3 linked regions of the Astyanax mexicanus genome follow. The protein of the gene in region 1 interacts with the protein of each later gene in a biochemical or structural test. Links are inferred from orthologs where the notes say so. Each region holds a gene or a part of one and is shown in the gene's direction. Other genes may lie near its edges. The genes, in order: mitogen-activated protein kinase kinase kinase 11, mapk8ip1b and map2k7.

What was found.
Region 2: the proteins of mitogen-activated protein kinase kinase kinase 11 (region 1) and mapk8ip1b form a complex in vitro, tested with the Homo sapiens proteins (2 studies listed by BioGRID). The link is inferred for Astyanax mexicanus from reciprocal best matches to the Homo sapiens genes MAP3K11 and MAPK8IP1.
Region 3: of the proteins of mitogen-activated protein kinase kinase kinase 11 (region 1) and map2k7, one has a biochemical effect on the other in vitro, tested with the Homo sapiens proteins (2 studies listed by BioGRID). The link is inferred for Astyanax mexicanus from reciprocal best matches to the Homo sapiens genes MAP3K11 and MAP2K7.

What each region holds. Positions count from the first base shown.
Region 1 is NC_064432.1:18,604,469-18,612,054, reverse strand, and holds the start of mitogen-activated protein kinase kinase kinase 11, read left to right. Parts: upstream 1-4,530; 5' UTR 4,531-6,405; coding exon 6,406-7,150; intron 7,151-7,586. UniProt on the Homo sapiens protein: Activates the JUN N-terminal pathway. Required for serum-stimulated cell proliferation and for mitogen and cytokine activation of MAPK14 (p38), MAPK3 (ERK) and MAPK8 (JNK1) through phosphorylation and activation of MAP2K4/MKK4 and MAP2K7/MKK7.
Region 2 is NC_064423.1:8,535,854-8,542,878, reverse strand, and holds the start of mapk8ip1b (C-Jun-amino-terminal kinase-interacting protein 1), read left to right. Parts: upstream 1-3,919; 5' UTR 3,920-3,934; coding exon 3,935-4,038; intron 4,039-7,025. UniProt on the Homo sapiens protein: The JNK-interacting protein (JIP) group of scaffold proteins selectively mediates JNK signaling by aggregating specific components of the MAPK cascade to form a functional JNK signaling module. Required for JNK activation in response to excitotoxic stress.
Region 3 is NC_064428.1:26,978,160-26,986,134, reverse strand, and holds the start of map2k7 (dual specificity mitogen-activated protein kinase kinase 7), read left to right. Parts: upstream 1-4,900; 5' UTR 4,901-4,953; coding exon 4,954-5,101; intron 5,102-7,975. Other genes in the region: pkn1a (serine/threonine-protein kinase N1), read left to right, coding at 326-529. UniProt on the Homo sapiens protein: Dual specificity protein kinase which acts as an essential component of the MAP kinase signal transduction pathway. Essential component of the stress-activated protein kinase/c-Jun N-terminal kinase (SAP/JNK) signaling pathway.

The sequences.
Region 1 (7,586 bases):
ATGAAACATCCAGAACCTTAAAGGATCTGCTGTTAATGTGGGTCACAAGAGCCGGAGAATTTGTTGTCTGAGGAGTGTTGCCGCTGTTTAAACTCTACAGCTAACTTGTTTCAGGCCTCTACAGCACAGATGCTGTTTTATACCCACATCAGTTGTACTAATGTAATTAACCTCAGTGAGTGAGTCACGCTCTGATGACTGAGATTAGCTCCAGATAATTGCTGGTTTTTGCATTAATCCGTTTGGGAAAGTCGTTAAACTGCACTACGCTAATCCAGCTGGAAAATCACATGGATGTGTGGTCTGGCCTTCTGAAATGGTTGTGTGGTGAGTGTGATATTATTTTATGATAAACACTGTATAGTGTTTCTTTAAGACAGAGCTCTGTTTTGATTGGTTGTGCCTCATTTAGAAAGCTTCAGGAGCTGAAACTCTTCTACTAACTACCGCGTGAGTGGGGCTAAGTCGTGTTAAGATGGAAAAGTAGGAGATGTAAATTAGTTTGCATTTGTGACATTGCAGAAACTAGCAGTTTTGGGAGTGTAGTTTCCATATATGAAGTGTATGGATTGTACGGAATCAGTATATTTACACCTAGATTTCTTTTCTTTTTTCTTTCTTTCAAATTTTCCATTATTTTACCATCATTAACATTTTACATAAAACTGAGTAGACGTGTCTAAATTCACAGGTGGTTTTGGATAGAAAATATCATGGATATTTTTGTGTTAAAGTCATGGTGACCTTTATGGTTTCTGTCAGCACCACGTTGAAGAAATCTGAAACCAGTCCATTGTTAGTTAGCAACACTAGTATTTCAGTTATATTGGACTATGATACTATATATACTATCATTTTTGTAACATAATTCCTCTGCTGAAGAATCAAGCTCAGGCCAGATTTTGCTGATAGATGGGTTTTGATGGCCTAAGCTCGTCTTTAATGTTCAGTTTGGTCTTTATATCTCTCATAATACTGTGTGTGACCTTAGTTCTTTCACATTCTTTGGCTTTTGTTTCTGTGAGAACTGAAGTGTTTCTGGCTGTTCTGCCAACATAAACTGCTGGAAGTTCTATCTATTCTCCTATCTTCTGCCTTCTAGTGTAATTTATCACCTTGTGCTTAGGCCAGAGTTTCACTTTTGACAACTAACAAACAGCAATTTATACTTAGCCCATATTTTACTGTAAAGCAATGTAAACACATAGCTGCTGAACTCATGTATACCTGGCTAGTTATTACTGGAGCCAGTGACAGCTCACTCTGGTAACCAGTAATTTACTAGGTCTATGTTTTACAGTCATCTGCGTAGATGTCTAGAGTAAATGGTTGAGTAAATCCACTCTATTGAGGACAGATCAGTACTGCAGGCAGAATAGTCCAGTACCTGTACCCTTGACTTCTAGTCATGCCATGGCAATGTGTGCAGCATGCTGTTTTGCATTGTCTTGCTGAAAAATTATTGTACGTCTCATTAGTCGAAAATGCCATTTTATGTATTAAATGCACTGAGAAAACTCTATCATTACAGACCATGACATTTGGGCTTGTAGCTGATAACAGTCTGAAGCACACAGTGTCCATTTCTTTCCCAAAAGATTTGAAATACTTTTTACATGTAACCAGAATACACATTTCCACTGCATGATCACGGCATTCATCTCCAATGCCTCAAAGCTCAGAAGGCGCCACTTCTAGAACATTTTCACATAAGGCTTCTGTTTTGCATTAAGATACAGGAATAGATAAACATAAACAAATGAATTAAAGTTGACCAAATTTTGTGCAATGTGCATTCTCCACACTGACCCAACTTTTTCAGATTTGTGGCTGTGATTGTTACTTTCCAGGGTCATAATTTATTTAAAATAACATAACAAAAGAGAACTTTTGCTACATTTGAGTTTTTTTAATTAACTAAACTGCAGATACAGATAATCTGTATTTACTGGCCTATTGTTCATGTTTACCTTGAATTGACAGACACACAATGAAATAGTGTGAAACTATAATAACACTCAAAGAAATACTGAAGCAACAAAACAGTTGTGTCTGTTGTCTCTTGTTAATTTCTGCAACAAGACTCAATCATTAATGTGTGTGTGTCTGTCTGTCTGTCTGTCTGTCTGGGTGTGTGTGTGTGTGTGTGTGTGTGTGTGTGTGTGTGTGTGTGTGTGTGTGTCGGTGTGTGTGTGTGTCGGTGTGTGTGTGTGTCGGTGTCGGTGTGTGTGTGTGTGTCGGTGTGTGTGTGTGTTCATACACGGGCCATTCTCTATCTGTTCCTCTTTTTATATATTGTAACACTCAGGGCAGCTACTGGGCCACAAAAACAACTGCATCCTTCCTGAAGAAATGATGACTCAGCTGTGTGTGTGTTGTGTGTGTGCGCGTGTGTGAAAGAAATAGAGAAAGAGTGAAGATATGTTCTTAAAAGAGAGGGAAAACATAGATTATTTTAAGGGTATTAATGGTACTTTAAATAAATAGTGATATTAAATAGTTTAATAATAATCAAACATTGATTCTATTGTAATGAACTGGGAAGCTTCCAACTCCTGGTGTTTTGTAGAATGTATAGATGAGTGTGCACTATGGGAATCTTATGACTATAACTATGGGTTCAGTGAATGATTTGGGATTCACCCTCAAAACAAAGGGCCACTGTGGAAAGCCATCAAAGCATTCAACCATGGAGAATCAACTTTTTCTCCAAACAAGAAGAGTCAGACACAGCCCCCTAGTGTCTTGGAGAGCACTGGTCTGAGATCAGGTGTGAATAAATTGGTTTATGTGTATTTTTGGTATGCTAAGGGATATTTGTGCTATTGGAGTCAAGTGGGTCTGCTAATGTTTCATACTGAACCATGTACTGACTTTCAGGCATTTGCGGGTTGTTTTAATAAAAAGTGGACTGTATTAAAAAAGTAAATAAGTTTGAAAAAAAAAACAAGTTCTGGTCATAACTTATTACACAAGTTATTGCAGTGTTTAAAATGCTTCAGACATGTGTTTGTAATGTGTGCAGCATGTGGTTTTGCATTGCATTGCTGTAAAAAAGCATGGATGCCCTTGGAAAATATGTGGTCTTAGGGGCAGCATATGTTGCTTTAAGGTCTCAGTGTACTTTTTTATTCATTAATGCTGCATCACGGAAGTGTACTGACTTACTTATACATACATATTTATGACAATAGCCAATCAAGATATGTCATAACAGTGCCTCTACTATGTATGACTCTGTTAACTGTTCAATGATCTTTGTGCCTGTCAAAATAGAGAAACTTTCTAAATGGGTAATATGATATTTCTGTTAAATCCCTTTGATCCCACCTTGGCCACTTATTAAAGTAATATAAATAAGCTGAAGTACAAAAAACACAGTTTTAATACTTATTCACGTGACTGTACATATTTATCTGTATTGTGCATTATATACCGTAAACATATTTTCTATTTGCTGTTATCTGCTTGGTGATCTGAAGTAGAGATTACTATCTATAACTTGAACAACCTGAAAACTCTCAGCTCATAACCACAAACACAGTAGTTATAAATATCGAGCAACACCAGAGCGCGAATTACACCCCCTTATTAATACTTAAACCTCCCAAACAATAGAGAGCTGTCCAGGTATAGGATCTGTATTTTCTTTTTCCATTCTTGAATAAAATATACCTGACTTTTTGAAAATGAAATGAGGTAATTCATAAATTTGAGTTTTAACAATGCTTTTATACACTGAGGTGATGAAATTTGCTGTTGAATTTCAAAATAACATATATATATATATATATATATATATATATATATATATATATATATATATATATATATATATATATATATATATATGCATATGTCCCCCCCCCCCCATTTTAGCTAAAATATACATTTTAATAATCAAAAATTGCACACATCTGAGAAATGCTGATATAATATATTATATTTTGGCTAAAAAATCGAGAATTTCTCATATATCTTAATGATGATTTTTCTTGATTTTGCCCATTTGAAAACCTCTGGAATATAATCAAGAGGAAGATGGATGATCACAAGTCATCAAACCAAGCTGAACTGCTTGAATCTTTGCACTAGTAGTAGCATAAAGTTATAAAGTAGCATAATGTTCATTTTACTCAAACATTAACCTATAAATAGCAAAATCAGAGAAACTGATTTAGAAACTGAAGTGGTCTCTTAATTTCTTTTTTTTTCCTGAGCTGTATTTTTATTTTATTTTTTACAATATCCCCTAGCCCTTATATATGTACTTTATTTTTCTCTATGAATAGAAAATGTAACGCAAGATTTCCAAATCAAATTCATGATTAAAACTAATGTAAGAGAGACCATAAAAACACAACTTTTTTTTTTTTTAAAGTTGGAGACCACGTGACCATCACTGCTCAGCAGCAGGTGCGCGCGCAGCGAGCGCTCGTCTCGAAGCAGCGCCTAGGGTTTGGAGCTGTGGTGCTCTAGTTAGGACGCGAGTGCGCGGATTGGACAGCGGCCAGAGTCAGAAAGCGAAACCCCACCCTCCGGACTGCGTACTGGCAGCAGCGGCGCAGAGCGGAGCGACTGTACGGAGCCCGGGGGGAGAGAGCGCGCGGAGCGGCGGGGCTACAGCGGCGGAGACACACGGGACCACACACCTGTTTAAGGGCTGAGGAGGTGAAGAGCCGCGCGGAGCCGCGGAGAGAGAGCGGGGTGCGGACCACCTCTGTAAACAGGAGCGAAGTGGAGGAGGAAACTCTTCCTGTTCAGAAGAAGTCTGATCTGAGGAGTTCCAGCGCTGAGAGAGAGGAGATACAGAGAGAGACACTGTGAGTCTGAGGGTCTGTGAGGAATGGAGAGAAGTAAGACTGGGTTTTACTGCGTTTCACAGAGTTTTTAAACGTTTTTAAAAAATCCTGGTCTCTTATAAACTCTTTTTTCCTCTCTCTGGCCCCCTCTCTCTCTCTCTCTCTCTCTCTCTCTCTCTCTCTGGCGCGCTCCTTTCCTGCCATTCTTCTGCGCGCCTCTGCGCTTCCTGCTCGGACTGACCAGAGCACTGGACGACTAAAAATACTGACAAGTCAAAATGGACAACTAGCCACATGCTCCCCTGCTCCTCACCTTCATATTTATCCTGAAGATTTAGTTTTTGGATTTGTGGATATCCTTATACTCCTACCGTGTTGGACTTTGGACTCCATCAGTTTATCTTCTGTGAGATTTGAATGGTCAGCAGATCCTGGACCTGTTTTTTTGGTTCTGAAGTTATAAATATAAGGCTAAAGGATAAACAATAAACACCCTCTCTAAAGAGCTTCGATAAGGCCTCAAATATGAGCAAACTTTCTAGGGTAGTACGCTAAATCGTATTTTTATCAATATTGTTTTTATGAACTCCTTGAATAGCTCCTTGAAAATTGCACTACCTGCTTGCAGCAACAGAGGCTAGTGCTGTATGATAGTGTATTTTTAATTGTTATTCTGATACACATTTTTGAACCAGCTTCGATAAAGCCTTGAATATCAGCAGAATAAAAAAAATTGCATTACCTGCAGACTGCTATGTCTGTACGATAAATCGCTTTTTAAAGTTAATCACAATAAGAGATTTCACGATAAACACCTGAGGCAAACAAACAAAAGAGCTGCGATAACTACTTAAATAACCCTGAATTGCATTGCTTGCTTGCAGCAACAGAGGACTGTACGATAAATCATATTTTCTTCATTATCGCAATATGAGTTTTTAGAGTAAAGGGCTGTGATAACTTTTTAAATAACAGCAAACCCAAAATGCTTTATCTTTGTGCGGCACAAGAGGGAGTTCTTCCTGTTACAGGCTAGTATGATAAATTAGATTTTTAGCATTATCGTGATATGAGAGATAAGGTTTATCGTAAGAGGCCCGATTGCAGCCAAGCCAAGTGCCAGAAACTAGTTTAATGGGATACACAACGGTGTTATCACACATTGTGTTTTTTGTCTATATTGGGCTTCCGTATGTTCCTCCATTCCTCTCCATGTTCTTTCAGCTCTGTAAGAAGCAGAAGCTGAAGTGAGCTCAAGTACGTAAGTGCATGGAGACCAGTTGGTGTCCAGGTTCCAGGTTCTCCCACACACAACCCATTCTTTGGTTAACTTTCTTTTGGCCTAAAGCCTGACTAAAGCCTGCCCCAAACTTCCATGGAGCCGTAGGCCTGTGATATCCATGTCCACAGTTGTTGGGGTGTCATTGTGGAGTGCTCTGGCTGGCGATGGCTGTGTGACCTTGCACTGCTTGTGCTTGAAGCTGGATGCAGAAGGCCCTCATGAACCTTCCAGAGGGGTCGCATCGGGAGAGAGGCGACGGGAAGTACACAGTTCGACAAATCAAGTCGCCATTTAAACCACGTTGTGCACAGAGAACCACACATGGAGCCGCTGAAGAGCATATTTACCCGCGGCCCTCTGGTGCCCTGGAAAAGCCTGCAGGACTCTCAAAAAGGGAGCTTCAGCAACCCGGTGTGGACCGCTTTGTTCGATTATGAAGCATCAGGAAAGGATGAGCTGACCCTGCGCAAGGGAGATGTTGTGGAGGTCCTGTCTTTGGACTCTGAGGTGTCTGGAGACGAGGGCTGGTGGGCGGGCAAGGTGAACAACAAGGTGGGCATCTTCCCCTCCAATTATGTCTCGCTCAAGCCCAGTGGCTATGGTAAACTGCCCCCTAGTGTGGGCGACGTGGCCCACGAGCTACAGTTTGAGCCTGAGGTGGTGGATTTTCGGGAGTTGAGCCTAGAGGAGGTCATAGGGGTTGGAGGCTTTGGGAAAGTGTACCGGGGCACCTGGAGAGGCGGGCTGGTGGCCGTCAAGGCAGCTCGGCAGGATCCGGATGAGGATATTAGTGTGACTGCGCAGAATGTGCGCAACGAAGCAAGACTCTTCGCCATGCTTACGCATCCCAACATCATCGCCCTCAAAGGGGTGTGCCTGCAGGAGCCCAACCTGTGCCTCATCATGGAGTACGCTTCCGGTGGGCCGCTGAGCCGGGCCCTGGCCGGCAGACGCATCCCGCCGCACGTCCTGGTGAACTGGGCCGTGCAGATCGCTCGAGGGATGCTGTACCTGCACAATGAGGCCATAGTACCTGTCATCCACCGTGACCTCAAATCAAACAACAGTAAGTAACCCACATTGCAAGCTATTGTCTGTGTATTGTTACTGTGATATTGGGCTTTGTGATGCACTCTATAGGGGGATCTTCAAGTTCTTAAATGTAGTTCAAGCGATAGGTGTAAACCATTACATTCACACTCATTCACAGAGTCAGAGTTGGTGTGAAATGGTTAATCGTAGAGATACTCACTTTGATTTCCTTACAGTGGTGCTAAAGGTAGCCAAATCTGGAAAAATACATCTTAATAGAGAACTATTTAGCCTTACAACACCCTGCAATAGTTCAGCCACTATGAACAGTTTAGGCCAAAAACTTTTCAGTACTATGGGAACTTAATGCCTCAGGCACCAGGCACAATATTCATGACTTTTTGTGCAATAACTTTGTGAGAGAGCTTTTCAGGGCATTAAACTTTTCAGACACTGACAATATGCAGAAC
Region 2 (7,025 bases), on another chromosome or scaffold:
AAATATAAACTGCAAAACTGTTTTTATTCAGATTTGTGAATCAGTTTAAGTAATACACTAAAAGGACAAGATTTAAAGGAGTCAGTTCCAAAACTAAAGAAAACCCCGGAATCAGACCGGTTACTCTGTGCTTCAGTCTCAGAGACAGCTGCCCTACTAATGCTGCCCCATCAGTAACAGGACAGATGCTCAGAGGATTTATTTGCTCATTTACTTTACATAACGTTAGTGTAATTCCTGACAACAACAAAATCACTGAGTCACGTCAGTGTTTCAGTTTTACACGTTCTGTGACGATTCTCACTAAATCCAGTTACACAATAAAAGCTTTCAAATGGTGAACGTCCACAGAGGCCCCTGATTTAGGATTTATGTAATAGACAGTCACTTTATCAGAACAGAGAGCTCTTAAAATATCCTCCCGATTATTATATGTGAATGTACACAAGCCAAATTATCACTTTGTCGGCATCAATTTTCAGGCTTTTTTTTGGGCCTCTGAAGGAGTTCTGTTGTATCTGGCATCAAGACATAAGCAGCAAATCCTAAGTCCTGTAACTTCAGAGATTTGATTTCACACCTATCTACTTTTTAGTTTTATCTGAATTAAAATCAGGCGATAGTAGTGCAATAGTAGGTCCAAAATTTGGTCTGACCAAAAAAGGCGTTGTCGGTCCAGATCAGCTTTTCATGTTTCGGGTGGTTTACTTTCAGAACAATTATGGGAAGTTGAGTCAAGCTAGCGTCACCCATTTTACAATGGAAGAAGAAAAAGAAAAGGTGTTGTGATGAAATCTCTTCTTGGATATGTGCAGATGCGTCACACAGCAGTATGGCTACAACTGTATGCTGTAGAATACTGTAACTGTAGAATAACCCTTATTTATAAACAGAAATAAAAGGAATCCAAGGAGAACCTTTTACACTGGTTCTGCTGCGGTTTCTGGCACAACATCTGGAAAGGCAACTCACCGAACTTACTTATCAAAGCTCTTTAAGCTGCTCGCTAAATTGCAGTCAGTGTAAAACCAAAACTAATCAAACCAAATTAAACAATCAATTAATCAGCCCCTTACTGCAACTCCTATAGTTCACCTGCACCCACTTTCAGCCCTCACTCCAACTCCCATAATTCTCTTGCACCCACTATCAGTCACTCACTACAACTCCCATAATTCACCTGCACCCACTATCAGACCACTGTTTCACGCAAAAGGTGTGCTCTGGGTCCGGTCATGCAGCAGTATGAACACAAACGCTTAGACTGGGAATTAATTTATTTACTGTAACAGTAGATTAATCCTTATTTAGCAGCAGAAATGAAAGTGAGGATTATCTTTTACACACATGCTGCTGCAGAGAGCCTGTGTATGTAAAGAGCAATCAGATTCTGACAGAGAGCTAGAATTCGCCACAACACCTGGGAAAGCAACTCACTGAACTCATAAAAACACTCTACAAACACATAAATATAAAGTATAAAGAGACTCCGTCCTTGTGACTGATGACGACAAGATGTAGTAAAATTCTTTAGCCCGTTCACTAAAATGCAGTGTAAAAATAAGACTAACAGGACCAAATGAACAGAATGTAACAAACACATGAAGTTGCGTGCGGACACTGGTCCAGATATTTAGATTTGAAAAAAAAAAAAACACACTTAAATTGAACTTGGTTTCTGCTTGGCATTTAGAGGACTCATACACAGAGAAGTGGCACAGTGTGTGTGACTGGGCTCATCTATCTGCCAAAACACAGTGTGTGTGTGTGTATGAGATTGTGTTTTTGTGTGTGGAGAGAGGGGTCTTTATGTCATTGTGCTACTTTACCACACCCTTCCCTCTACCCAGGCTATGATTTATTTATTTACACACACACACACACACACACACAGAAACATTACCTCATACACCAATCATCAATAATAATGAGTTCAAGTCTCAGCAGTCGTAGTATTTATAAAAATGTAATGATGTACACATTTTAAAAACATTACAGACACACAAGACTGATTTTTCCTGTTTGATAAATGTAGCAAATTAATGCATGCTGTAGATTGTGTGTCATATTTTAGTTTATGATGCAGTTTAGGGTCTAGGACTAATGTGTCAGTTTGAATGTTTTTAAAATGCATATGATTATAATTTTTACTACGTTTCTCACCATGTTTATTTGTTATATATATCACCGATTCGAATCCTGTATCATGCTATTTCCCCATCAGCAGCCAGAGTCTGAGAGAGTACAGTAGATCATACTGCTTCTCTCTCTGGGTGGGTACAGTAGGTGGGGCTCTCTCCCCTCATCACTCCCGTTGTGATCCTGGTCAGTAGAGGCGTCTGTTAGCTGATGCATCAGAGTTTGGTTGGGCCTTTTTTTAAGCACACTAGATACCTGGTTATGATACCTGGAAGGTACCTGTATACCTGGACATGGAGGCTGACTTCACATGTAGCCGAAAGGGTGTGCATCTGTCCGCACCTTTCTAGTGTTGGAAGAACATTACTAGTGATGGGGAGAACTAAGAAGGGGTGGGGTAATTGGCCTTCCAAAACTGGGTAGAAAATGGATACAATTAAAGAAAATAAATTACTAATACACCACTGGAACACTGAAACACTGGAACATTGAAACACTAGAACACTGAAACACCGGAACACTGAAACAATGGAACACTGGAACATTGAAACACTAGAACACTGAAACACCGGAACACTGAAACACTGGAACACTGAAACACAGGAACACTGAAACACCAGAACACGGAAACACCAGAACATGGAAACACCGGAACACTAAAACACTGGAACACCGGAACACTGAAACACTGGAACACTGCAACATCAAAACACTGGAACACTGCAACACCGGAACACTGAAACACAGGAACACTGATACACCAGAACACTGAAATACCAGAACACTGAAACACCAGAACACTGAAAACTGGAACCCTGAAACACCAGAACACTGGAACACTGAAACACCAGAACACTGAAACACTGGAAAACTGAAACACCAGAACGCTAAAACACTGGAACACTGAAATACCAGAACACTGAAACACCGGAACACTAAAACACTGGAACACTGAAACACCGGAACACTAAAACACTGGAACACTGAAACACCGGAACATTGAAACACCGGAACACTGAAACACAGGAACACTGATACACCAGAACACTAAAACACCAGAACACTGAAACACTGGAACACTGAAACACCAGAACAACGAAATACCAGAACACTAAAACACCAGAACACTGAAACACTGGGACACTGAAACATCAGAACACTAAAACTCCAGAACACTGAAACACTGAAACACCAGAACACTGGAACCCTGAAACACCACAACACTGAAACACTGGAACAACAAAACACTAGAACACTAAAACACTGGAACACTGAAACACCAGAACACTGAAACACCAGAACACTGAAACACCAGAACACTGAAACACTGAAACACAGGAACACTAAAACAATGATACACTGATATAATGTGCAGCAATTCCAATCTATTTCTGTTATGAAATCAAAAAATGATAAAAATTTAATGTTTTTTTAGTCAGCAGGGGGCGATCTCACCCATATTATTTTTTACTAAATTGTAATATATACATATATATTTCTTTAACACGTATTTATTTGTATTAACATTCTTATCACCAGACTGCCTCTGTAAACAGCTGTGTATTTATTGAGGGAGTTTCAGCTGCGGCTCCGCGCGCGGGCTGATCAGACTGCTGGAGCTGTTGTTTAGACCCTGACGGTCCCTCATATTTACCTCGAGAGCCCCGGCGGAGAGGCGGAGAGCGGGAGCTGAGACAGCAGCCCCTCCCTCCGGCCGCAGCCCTCACTGCCTCCCGCTCCCCCTCCTCCTCCTCCTCCTCCTCCCTCCACGGAGCTGCTGCTGCTGCTCCTCCAGATGAATGGGAAGAGGGAAGGCATGGCGGAGAGAGAGCGGAGGAAGACCCCGGCAGCAGCGTCCAGCTCCCGGGCACCGCGCCTCGACTCCCCGGCCAGCTGCAGGTGAGAAGCCGCTGCTGCTGCGGGGATAAATGTGTGTGTAGTATGTTTAAGTGTAAGTGTGTGTGTGTGTGTGTGTCCCATCTCGTTTGCTGCCATCCCACCTGGGCTGTAGCAGCTGCTTGTTGATAGCGATGGGTCGCTGATAAGGGAGGAATCAGAGGAGTACAGGCGGTTTATGGGGTGTGTGAGTGTTTGTGGTGGTGTATGGAAGCAGATTGCAGGCTGTATGGGTGTGTCTCTGCTGTTGGGATGGGCAGATAAGGCAGAAGTTTGAAGGGAGAAGTGTTTTTGGAATGAGATGCAGGTTTGATTGGTACAGTGCAGAAAAAAATATATAAAAAAATACAAATATATATACAATAGAAATAAATGATAACAGTGCAGATTATTGTTAGAGTGTTAAGAAAATGAATATTGCTATTATGTGACTGAGGTAGCCGATAATAGATAATAAATAGATACTGAACTGAAATGGCGATTTATAGTTTATGCTACATTGTTAAGGAAAAAAAAGGTATTTTTCCAAATTGGGTCCACCTGATCAGCTCATGGCCCAGTCAAAGCTGCAGGAGGTTAAAGCAGAGAAAACACTAAAATGCTGAAAAAATACAAAGTCGGGGGATGCCAGCACCAGAACTGACAAATACTGGAGTAGGAGTGTTAAAGGGCCCATAGTGTAGGTTTAGTGGTGGGTTTAAATGGAAAATAAAATAGATATATTACTATTGTTATTGTTGTAGTAGAGACTGGTTCAATTTACCACTACAGTAGCTACTGAGCCAGTACATTTCTCTACAAACTGAACATTTCACACCAAAAACTCATTACGACATTACTTTGTTTACCTCCTAATTATTCATCCAGATGATTTTGAAGTGGTGTTATACATTGTTATATTGTACATTGTACATAATGCATTGTTTACAGGTAATTGAATTATGCATAAATTAAAATGAAGGTTCTCCACATTCTCAATCACATTATACACTGAAAACAGTGCATATGCAGGCTAGCTAATTAATAATGAATGGCCTAAAAATAAAATAGTAAAATCCCTAAACTCTATGGCTGATGTTAGGGCTGACAGTATATTGTGTATTGTTCAAAATGTGCAAATTAATTCCAGGAAAAAAACAAACATGTGTTGTTTGTGTAGAGAGTAGTGGTGTTTTGGAGGTATAACAGAGTAGAGTACAGATCTGTAGAGTACAGATTAGTGTAAATGTTGTAAAAACATCAAATATAAGGACAAAACATATTTAAGTGTATTACTTAAATACACAGTTATCTATTTGCTATTTACATAGCCATCATATATATTTTTATTGAGGAAGAAAAAAAGGGAAAAAATAAGTAATATATAGTATAAAAGCACAGGAATAATAGACAAAAAAATAAATGTACAAAACAAAATAAAACAACCCAGCACCCCTTTTTTCTTTTTCTTACCTTCCCCCTTTGTCTTCCTTTCTTTTTCTTCCTTCCCCTTTTTCCCCTCTGCTTTATCTTCCCTTATTTTTTCTTTCTTTCTTTCTAGGCCTTTACACCTTATTTAATTTTTTTTCTTTTAAACCCCTTTTAATATCGCCATTTATTGTCAAAGACTATCAAGTATGAAATATTTTAAATATTGATCGTTTTTCAGTCATATTGGCAGCCAGAGCTAATATAGCTCTCACATATAATTGGAGCATTTTAGAAGCATTTAGCATAATTATTTAACCAAAGATGTTTGTGGAAAAATTTACTGGTGGGGTTGGGAACTTGGCTGTGAGATGTGCAGAGATTTTGCCCTATAGAGTAAAACTGCTTAAACTGAAGTTCTTATTTAAGCGTCCCACAGAATAATGCATGATGCTGGATTATTTTTGTACCATTAAATTATAGATTCTGAGTGAAATGCTTTTAAATTTAGAGGTCATTAATTGCCGTGATCCATGCTTGCTCTATTCGAGGTGCACTGAAGCGATCAGCAGTTCTGCAGGACCATCAGCTTCATGTGTTTTGGCAGCCTGAAGCTTATACGCCATGTAACAGTGGAACCGCCTGCTACAGCAGGATTTGGGTAAACTAGGGGCCGGATATTAATTAGAAATGTTCTGAAGGAATCTGTCTCTGTACTGGAGTTAAAGTAAACGGCATGTACAGTGTATCTACTGTGCAGAGTTAGACTCCAGGATCAAACGGTTTCTGGAAGTCTCTGAGTTTAATCGCAATGTGCATTTCCTGTGTACGGTCTAATCCTGCAGTCTTACTGTAATAAACTACAGAAGGCCTCGTTTCAGAGCTCTCCACGTCCTGGCGTTCACCCAGACACGGGCATCTGCTCAGCTCCGTCTATATACAGTATCTCTGCAGGGTCACTCAGGCTGAATGGCCTTGTTTTTATACCCAGTAATAAGAAGACATTCCATCACAACAAGAGTCACAACCTAAACAAATCATTTATAGCACCAAGGGCCCCAAATTCTGCATCCTATTTTAAATGTATGTATTTATTTATATATATAATTAATATAACTATTTGCAGGTGCAGCTTTACTCTCAAATAATGATGTGATGATAGTGACAATTCTTTATCTTTATCTTTATCCTTAATCTAAAAAAAACTATAGACTGTTATACTGTTTCTATTACTATACCTTTAATGCTCAAATACATGTAAACAAGCTCTGTTATAATTGGCTCTGCCTTGCTGTGAGGATTTGATTGCATTTTGTGGCATTTTTACCTCTCTGGCCTATACCTGTCATTAGGCATGAAGCCAATCTGCTCATGATTGTCTGCTCCAGATAATACAGCTGTGTTTCCAGCTGTTTGAACTGGATTGAATTTTAACAGTGTTTTCTCACTGGTTCAATCCTTTAGCTCAGGACAGTGAGTAAAATTCAGTTTTACAGGAAAGTGATAACCTTTGAAGTGTTATCATCATCTGAAGAAGAATCGTCCCAGTATTTTTTAGAAGCTTTCTCAGTTCTGTCTTCAAA
Region 3 (7,975 bases), on another chromosome or scaffold:
AAGCTCAAGACATGCCTCCTTGTTTCCTGTACTGTCTGACTTGGACTCTGCCACCTAGTACACATTTTTCACTTCATGGTTTCATTATGTTTGCAGACATTTGAGTGAATGTCTGCATATGCATGTCCAAACACATTTGCAGATATGTAGGGACAGCAGTAGAACGGAGCTTTCAATAGGCATAAAATACCAAATTCTCCAGATACCACTACCTTTCAAACCTGAACCATTCACCTCTAAGCAAGTTGTGCAATCTCAATTTTTGCTTTGGAATTGTAAGAGTTTTTGATATAACGCGTCATCGCCATCTTTTACTTTCTTTCAGAATATGGATTGGGAGGCTCTTCTCCTTCGCAAACTCCCTCCCCCCTTCGTTCCTTCCATCGGAGGAAAAGAAGACGTCAGCAACTTTGACGAAGAATTCACGGCGGAAGCTCCTGCCCTCACACCGCCAAGGGAGCCTCGCACGCTCTCGCGCAAAGACCAGGACAGCTTCCGTGACTTCGAATACGTCTCCGACCTCTGTTGAAATTCTCAGAAGGAAGTTGTCAGAGATATCAAAGGTTGTACAGTCCAGGAGTCGTCCAGGGATGTTTATTATCTCTTTGACTGCGATCACGGCGGATCTGCACCATTACCACTACACTGTGACAGTAAAAGTTCGGCCATTGTGGATGGCTTGGTTTTTTTTTTTATGGATGCCAGAATGAAGATTGAAGAGACTACTATAGCTCAGTAAATGTGTGGAGTTTTTGTTTTTACTCTGGGATGGAGAACGGATTACGCTAATGAAGAGAAAATATTTAGAGATGGAGATTATGTGGACTACTCATCAAGAGAGGGGATGTAAAAGGCTGTCTGGCATATTCTCAATATAACGATAATGACACATAGAAATGTGAATTTCAGCTGAGAAAAAAAAAGAAAAACTTCAATGTAGTCTTTCTTATACTGCCTCTTTCTGTCTCTCACTTCTGCCTTTCACGTCAAACAAGTTCATCAGTAGAAGAACGGGACAGCAAGCAGCTGCCATTCTGACCTGGCCCAGTGACACTCGTTTACACACTGTGATTTTGGATTTTGAAAATGCCTTAACTTTATACTCTGTCCCTTTTGAGAATTTTACGTAGAATCTTTTAAGTATGTTAGTCAAAGGAACTGAAAAAAGAAGCCTTGAATGGACAATGATGATGAAGTGATGTGATGATGAATGAATATATATATATATATATATATACATACAGTACGGAGAATCATGAGGTCAAGATTAATACAAGCTAATGCTACGTACACTGCTTATACTGAAAGGTTTCATGTTTGAGAACAACAACAAGAACAACCTGAATATGGAATTGTGCCCACATTTAGGATTAAATGGGTTAAAGAATGACCATTAAAGGTGCTGTATATTATTCTGAAGAACAATTCTTGGTGTTTGAACCAAACTGTTGGTGTGCAAAACAAACAAACAAACTCCTCCCTTCAGGATGTTCAGAAATCTTGCAATCTTTTAAATACCTCACCAACGTTTACACATGCCGATGCCTTTCCCAGTCCTCGGCGCACACTTAAATGGCCCCTAATAATGTCGTGTGGCCCATTTCCCATTTACAAAGTAAGGCACCAAAATGTCAGAATCTTTTCCAACACATAAACAGACCAGGGAGTTAGGGAACTGTGAGGAAACATTCGCTGAATTATTTAAAATGTGTATTGGTGTATTAAAAATCGTATACAGTGCCTTTAATGGTGAGATTCAGTTTAGTACATTGACAGAGCATCTCTGAATATTGTTCTGGATAAGTTTTAAGCAAGTACTAGACACTGATTCAACACTTTTTTAAAGGCAGAGCCCTTCAGTGTTTTTCAACTTCAGCTTAATCTGCTGCATTGTTGACATTAACAGTCATTTTGATGCCTTTCCAGTAACCCTAAAGATCAGCTACAGCACATCTCTTTATGTGTTCGTCAGTAAAATTAGTAAAACGTCTAAAAGATTTTATTCTCTTAATATTATTCTAGCTAGTCAAAATGTGAATTATAGAGTTTTCCCTTCTAAAGTCTCCATTGCTCCACCAGCTGCTTGTATTTAGTAAAACTGAGCCGGATCGTCTTTTAGAGGCTGTACATTTGACATAAAGACGCGTGACATGGCCAGAAGAACTCCAGCGAAAAGCGACCAGACACCCAGTTTTTAGAATGAATATATATTAGGCTTAGGGGGGATGGTTGTTCCAGCGCACTGGTACCATTTAATACAATATTTTACCCCTTCTCCACTCAGAAATGCTTCAGCTTTCAGTTGAGAAACAAAATAATACGGACTGCCACTTTAAGTATTCTGTTACAAGGACACAAAGTCTCATTGATGTGGAGCACCACAATCAGTCTTGCTAAACATGCGTGAGTGAATAAGTTACAAGCCATTAGAGGCATCTACAAAAATGTTGCATCTCCAATATGTCAACTTTACCAGTTCCTAACTGTTCAAAGCTTTTTTTAAGGTAATTTTGTATACATTCATAGTTACGTTTGGAAAACTATATATATTATATCAATATGCAGATACAAGCTTTAGAAAGGCATTTAGATTATTGTTGATGGTGACTATCAAAGTGGTGGATAAAGAATGAATTGAAAACAAACTACTGAAGGATTTATTTTAAGAGTTGGACCTAATTAACTTTAAAAACTACAAGGCTGTGTAATTTCTGACAGAAACTAGGAAAGGAGTATAAATGTTTCAGTTTGTTTTGGTGGAAATTAGTCCCAATATTGTTTTCCTGTTTTAGCATTTTAAGCCCATTTTATTTAATTCTCTACTTTGAAACACTGGATTTTGCAATTTGTCATGAAGGGATTAATTCTGCAAAATAATGAAAAATCATACTTCAATACCACAAAAAATGAATACACTGATAAACATGTAGCACAAACTTTAATATGAACTTTGGCCTCCAAAATCAATGTCTGTTTATTACCCATCTTCGAATCAGAGACGACAACACTGCTTTTATGTGGACAGTAAAACTGTTGTCCGATTTTCCTGTGGTTTGCAGGTCAGTGTTGATGAATTGGTATGACTGTGTCCAGTATACTATTATATTACAATTCATCAGAACTCTGTGTTGAGCTGTATTTATAAAGACTTGTTGATAAGACTGCTGTGTTTGTGTGTGTTATTTTCTTATGTGTGTGAATTTTGGCACCTCTGTCATTTTGGATTTACGTTCCTGAGTAATCTTTTTCCTGGGTAAAGTTTTATATAAAATAATGAAATATCAGTATTGTTAAATGATTGTAAAAAGGCTTACATATCAAAAACAATATGTGGCTTGTATTTAAGGTAGGTAATAAAATATATAGGATAAATGAAGCTCTATACATTTTAAGAGGTTTAAATACTTATACAAATTTGAGCAATATTTGATGTCCAAATTTTAGTCTGTAAAATTGTTTCCATGAACTGACTGGAATCAAATTATTTATTAAAGAAAAATGTCCAACACCAAATGTAAAAGGACTCGTGGATAAAGAAATCACCAAAAAAAAAAACAGAAAATGGGTGGAAAAATAAATAAATAAATCTCCCAAGGAAATTCTCTTGGAAATGGTTAGGATAAGAAAAGGAGAGTTCCTGACAACTAGTGACAAAATTAAACAGAAAACAAATAAAATGAAGAGAAAAATAAATATTGCATGAAAATGGGTGGAAAACAAATATTTTTTGCAACAAAACAAATAAATAGGTGCAAACAAAAAAAGGGTTGGGGAGAAGAAATGAAAAAGAAATAAAAAAGGGTGGAGAAGAAGAATATCTTTGAAAAGTTACTTTATTTCAGTAATTCACTTCAAAATGTAAAACTCATATCATATAGATGTATTACACAGAGAGTGATCTATTTTAAGTGTTTATTTCTTTTATTGTTGATGGTTATGGCTTATAGCTAATAAAAAACCCAAAAGTCAGTATTTTAGAAAATTAGAATATTATATAAGACCAATTGGTACTTTGGCAGTGTGTCCTGCTGGAAAATGAAATCAACATCTCCCTAAGTTGTCAGCATCTGGCACTGCAGAATTTGACCTAGGATCTGGGTATACAGTCGTACACACATTCACATCAGTGCAATTTAGAGTATCCGATTTAGCGTAGGAGGAAACTGGAGTGCCCGGAGGAAACCTACGCGCACACATGGAGAATATGGAAACTACACCCAGATTGTGACTTGACCCCAGAACCCCAGCTCTGGAAGCTGAACGTGCAAACCACTAAGCCACCATGCTGCCCCATAGAAGCTGTATAATAACATAACATATTGTGAAAATATTGTTTTGTGATTATATTGTTCTGTTATAATATCGTATTTTGATATTGTACCGTACCATTATATTGTATCAAGATTATATTACATTGTGATATCGTGTTGTTGTAACATTGTATTGTGATAATATTTTATTTTGATAATATTGTATCGTGATAATGTTGTATTCTTAAGATATCATATTAAGATAATATTGTATAGTAATAATATTGTGTCGTGATAAAATTGTTTAATGCTATTAATATTGTATTGTGATAATAATATTGTATCGTGATATATTGTGATAATATCTAATTGTGATATGAATATCTAATTGTGATATTAATATTGTATCGTGATATATTGTGATAATATCGTATTGTGATATTAATATTGTATCGTGATAACAATATCGTTTCGTGATAAGATTGTATAGGGATAAAATCGTATCGTGATAATAATATCTTATTGTGATAATAATATCGTATCGTGATAATATCGTATCGTGTGGTTCCCTGCTACTGAATCGTTGCACCCTTTACAGCAGTGTGTGTGTTGGTGTGAGTCGGTGTGTGTTGCTGTCCTCCAGCACCGTCGCCAGGGGGGAGTGTATGTGTGTGTGTGCGAGTTTTAGAGCCGGGGCCGCTCGATGGTGCTGCTGAATTTTTCCAAGATGTCGTCGCTGGAACAGAGACTCTCCCGAATCGAGGAGAAACTGAAGCAGGAGAATAAAGAAGCGAGGAGGCGGATCGACCTCAGCATCGACATGAGCCCACAGCGCTCCCGACCCAGGCCGAGTAAGTGTCCGGAGGAGACTGCGGAGCCGCCGTGGTGGAGAGAGAGGCGGAATCGGGGGGAGCAGCGTTAGCTTAACCAGGCTACATAAACAAACACGGAGCTCTGATCAGACTGACAGCTGGTTAAAGACCTGGCAGAGCGCGGGCGCTGAGTAGAGCCTACTGGGTACACATATATAAACCTGTAGGTGAAGAATAATAGCGGAGAATGTCTAATTCGTGGTCATTTCGCTAGCTAACCGAGCTAACTAGCTAAATAACCGTTAGCCAGCCAGCTAAGTGACTGACTGACTGACTGACTGACTGGCTAAATTGATTAGCAGGCCCGCGTCCCAAGCCTCACAATATGACTCCAGCTAGTATCGTTAGGTTAGCTAGCGTTAGCTGGCTAACTGAGGACTTTAGGATAACGTAATATCTGTATAATATTATCAACTCTGAAAATTAATTTTCTGTAAATTCATTTTGAATCATCTGTGTGGCAGCGAATCCGTTTTTCGCTTCAGTTTTCTGACCCTTCTCAAGATAGCCACTAGCTAGCTAACCCCAGCTAACGAGACGCCTGACATAAACCTGGTAACGTTAGCTACCATGCTAATGCTAAAAACGTAACCTAGTAACTAACTAGCGAGAGAGTGCAGTTACTGTAAAAATAGAAGAGTATAAGAGTGCCCAAAAGCTTCTGACTAAATATTGGGGTCAAAAACATTTGGTTTAATGTTGGAGTCCAAAAAACATTCGAATACAAACAACGTTTGGCTGATAGATAGATAGATAGATACATACATACATACATACTTTATTTATCCCAAAGGAAATTTAGGTGATAGATGATATGAAATGATAGAGCTGTGTTCTCAATATTTTGGTTGAATGTTAGAGCCTAAAAGCATTGGCTAAGTGACAAAATGCACATATGTGTAGTTAGTATAGCTGTGTGAACAAGGTATTAGTTAGTTGGGGTCAAAAAACATTTAGCTAAATGTTGGAGTCCCAAGAACATCTGGTTAAATGGTGAAACATATATGCATATGGTATATAGAATTGTGTCTAGAAGCTTTTGGCTCAATTTTGTATAACAAAAACATTTGGTTAAATGTTGGAGTCCAAAAACATATGACTAAATAGTGGAATACAAAACAAAACGTTTGACTGGTAACATTAGAGCCGTGTTCACAATATTTTGGTTGAATGTTGAAGGGTGAAACGCATATGTTTGTTTAATAGAATTGTGTCCAGCAGCTTCTGGCTAAATATTGGGGTCTAAAATCATTTGGGTAAATGGTGAAACACATACTTTTGACTAAATGTTTTAGATCATTAACATTTAGCTGAATTTTGTTAAATGGTGAAACATACATGGGTTTATTTGATAGAATTGTGAGGCAAATTTTTGGTTAAATGTTCAGTAAGTAGAAATGTATCCATAAGCTTTTAGCTATTTATTGCGGCCCAAATGGTTTGTGCAAATGGTGAAATGCAGATATGTTTGATTTGTATAGCTGTGTCAACAAGTTATTGGCTAAATGTTTGGGTGCAAAAACATTTAACTAAATGTTGGGGTCAAAGAACATTTGGTTAAATGAAACCAATATGTTTTGTTAATATAATTATGTCCAGAAGCTTTTGGCTAAATGTTGGAGTTTAAAAACATTTGGTTAAATGTTGGAGTCCAGAAACGTTTGACTAAATAACGAAATACAAAAATGTTTGGCTGGTAGAGATGTGATCACAATATTTTGGTTGAATGTTAAAGCCCAAACGCATTGGCTAAATGGTAAACTGTAGATATGTTTAGTTAGTATTGCTGTGTCGACAAGGTATTGTCTAAATGTTGGGGTGCAAAAACATTTGGCTAAATGTTGGAGTCCACTTCTGATGAATGTATTTAGCTAGCTACCGCAAGTAGCTGTACCTATTGCTGACACAGATGTGCAAATGCACACACGCCACAGTGTGTTTAGTTTGTGTGGAGAACTATTGCCAATGGAATAAGATTCTCTGCAGCAGATAAACATGAACCTATTGGCACCATGCCCAATACCAGGCATTGACAAGAGGGGTGTTAAGCCTCACAGCATTAAACTGTGTGGCAGTGGAAGAACTGTGTTCTCTGGAATAATAATTCTTTATCTAATACTTTTAGCATGAGTTGGGAATGAGGAACAGTGGTAATCATCAAACATGATCAACCCATTAGCCCATTAATGCTTGTGTCACTGATTGCTATCAAAACCTTACAGCAGATCTCCTCCTCCACCTCCAAAATCTAGAAAGAACACTTTCTTCCATGAACAGTAGAGACAGGTCAGTTACTGCAGCAGTAAGTAGTCTTCTAAAAGGCTTTCACACTAATTGCCGGAGCATTGATGTGAGAATTTGATTATGTTTAGCCATCAGAGCAATAGTGAGGTAAGGTGCTGATGTTATATGATCAGTTGCGGATTATTTGATTTATTCTGACAAATCTCAAAGGTGTTGGGTGAATTATAGAGGATCTACAAGCTGTTACGTGCCTGTGTCAGCAATTTGCAAACCTTGACAGTAGCTAAATTCAATAATGTGATACATTTGGGCATAAAGTTTATCTTGGTCTTGGGTAGGTTGTGTAATTATAGATAATATTTGATGTGTCTTCTTAAATGTAATCTGTTCTCTCTCTAAACGCTTTAGTCTGGTGTGTAACCTTCCGTGTGTTTGATATCAGCATTTGTTTACATATTTCTGAACATGGGCATTTGCACAAAGCTGTGCAGAACATTTAGGTCCCTAGGCGCATTATTTAAAAGAAATTTTTTAACAATAACATTTTTGCTGTAAACAAAACAGCTACAGATCACAAAAAAACAGATGCAGGTACTCAAAAATAAATAC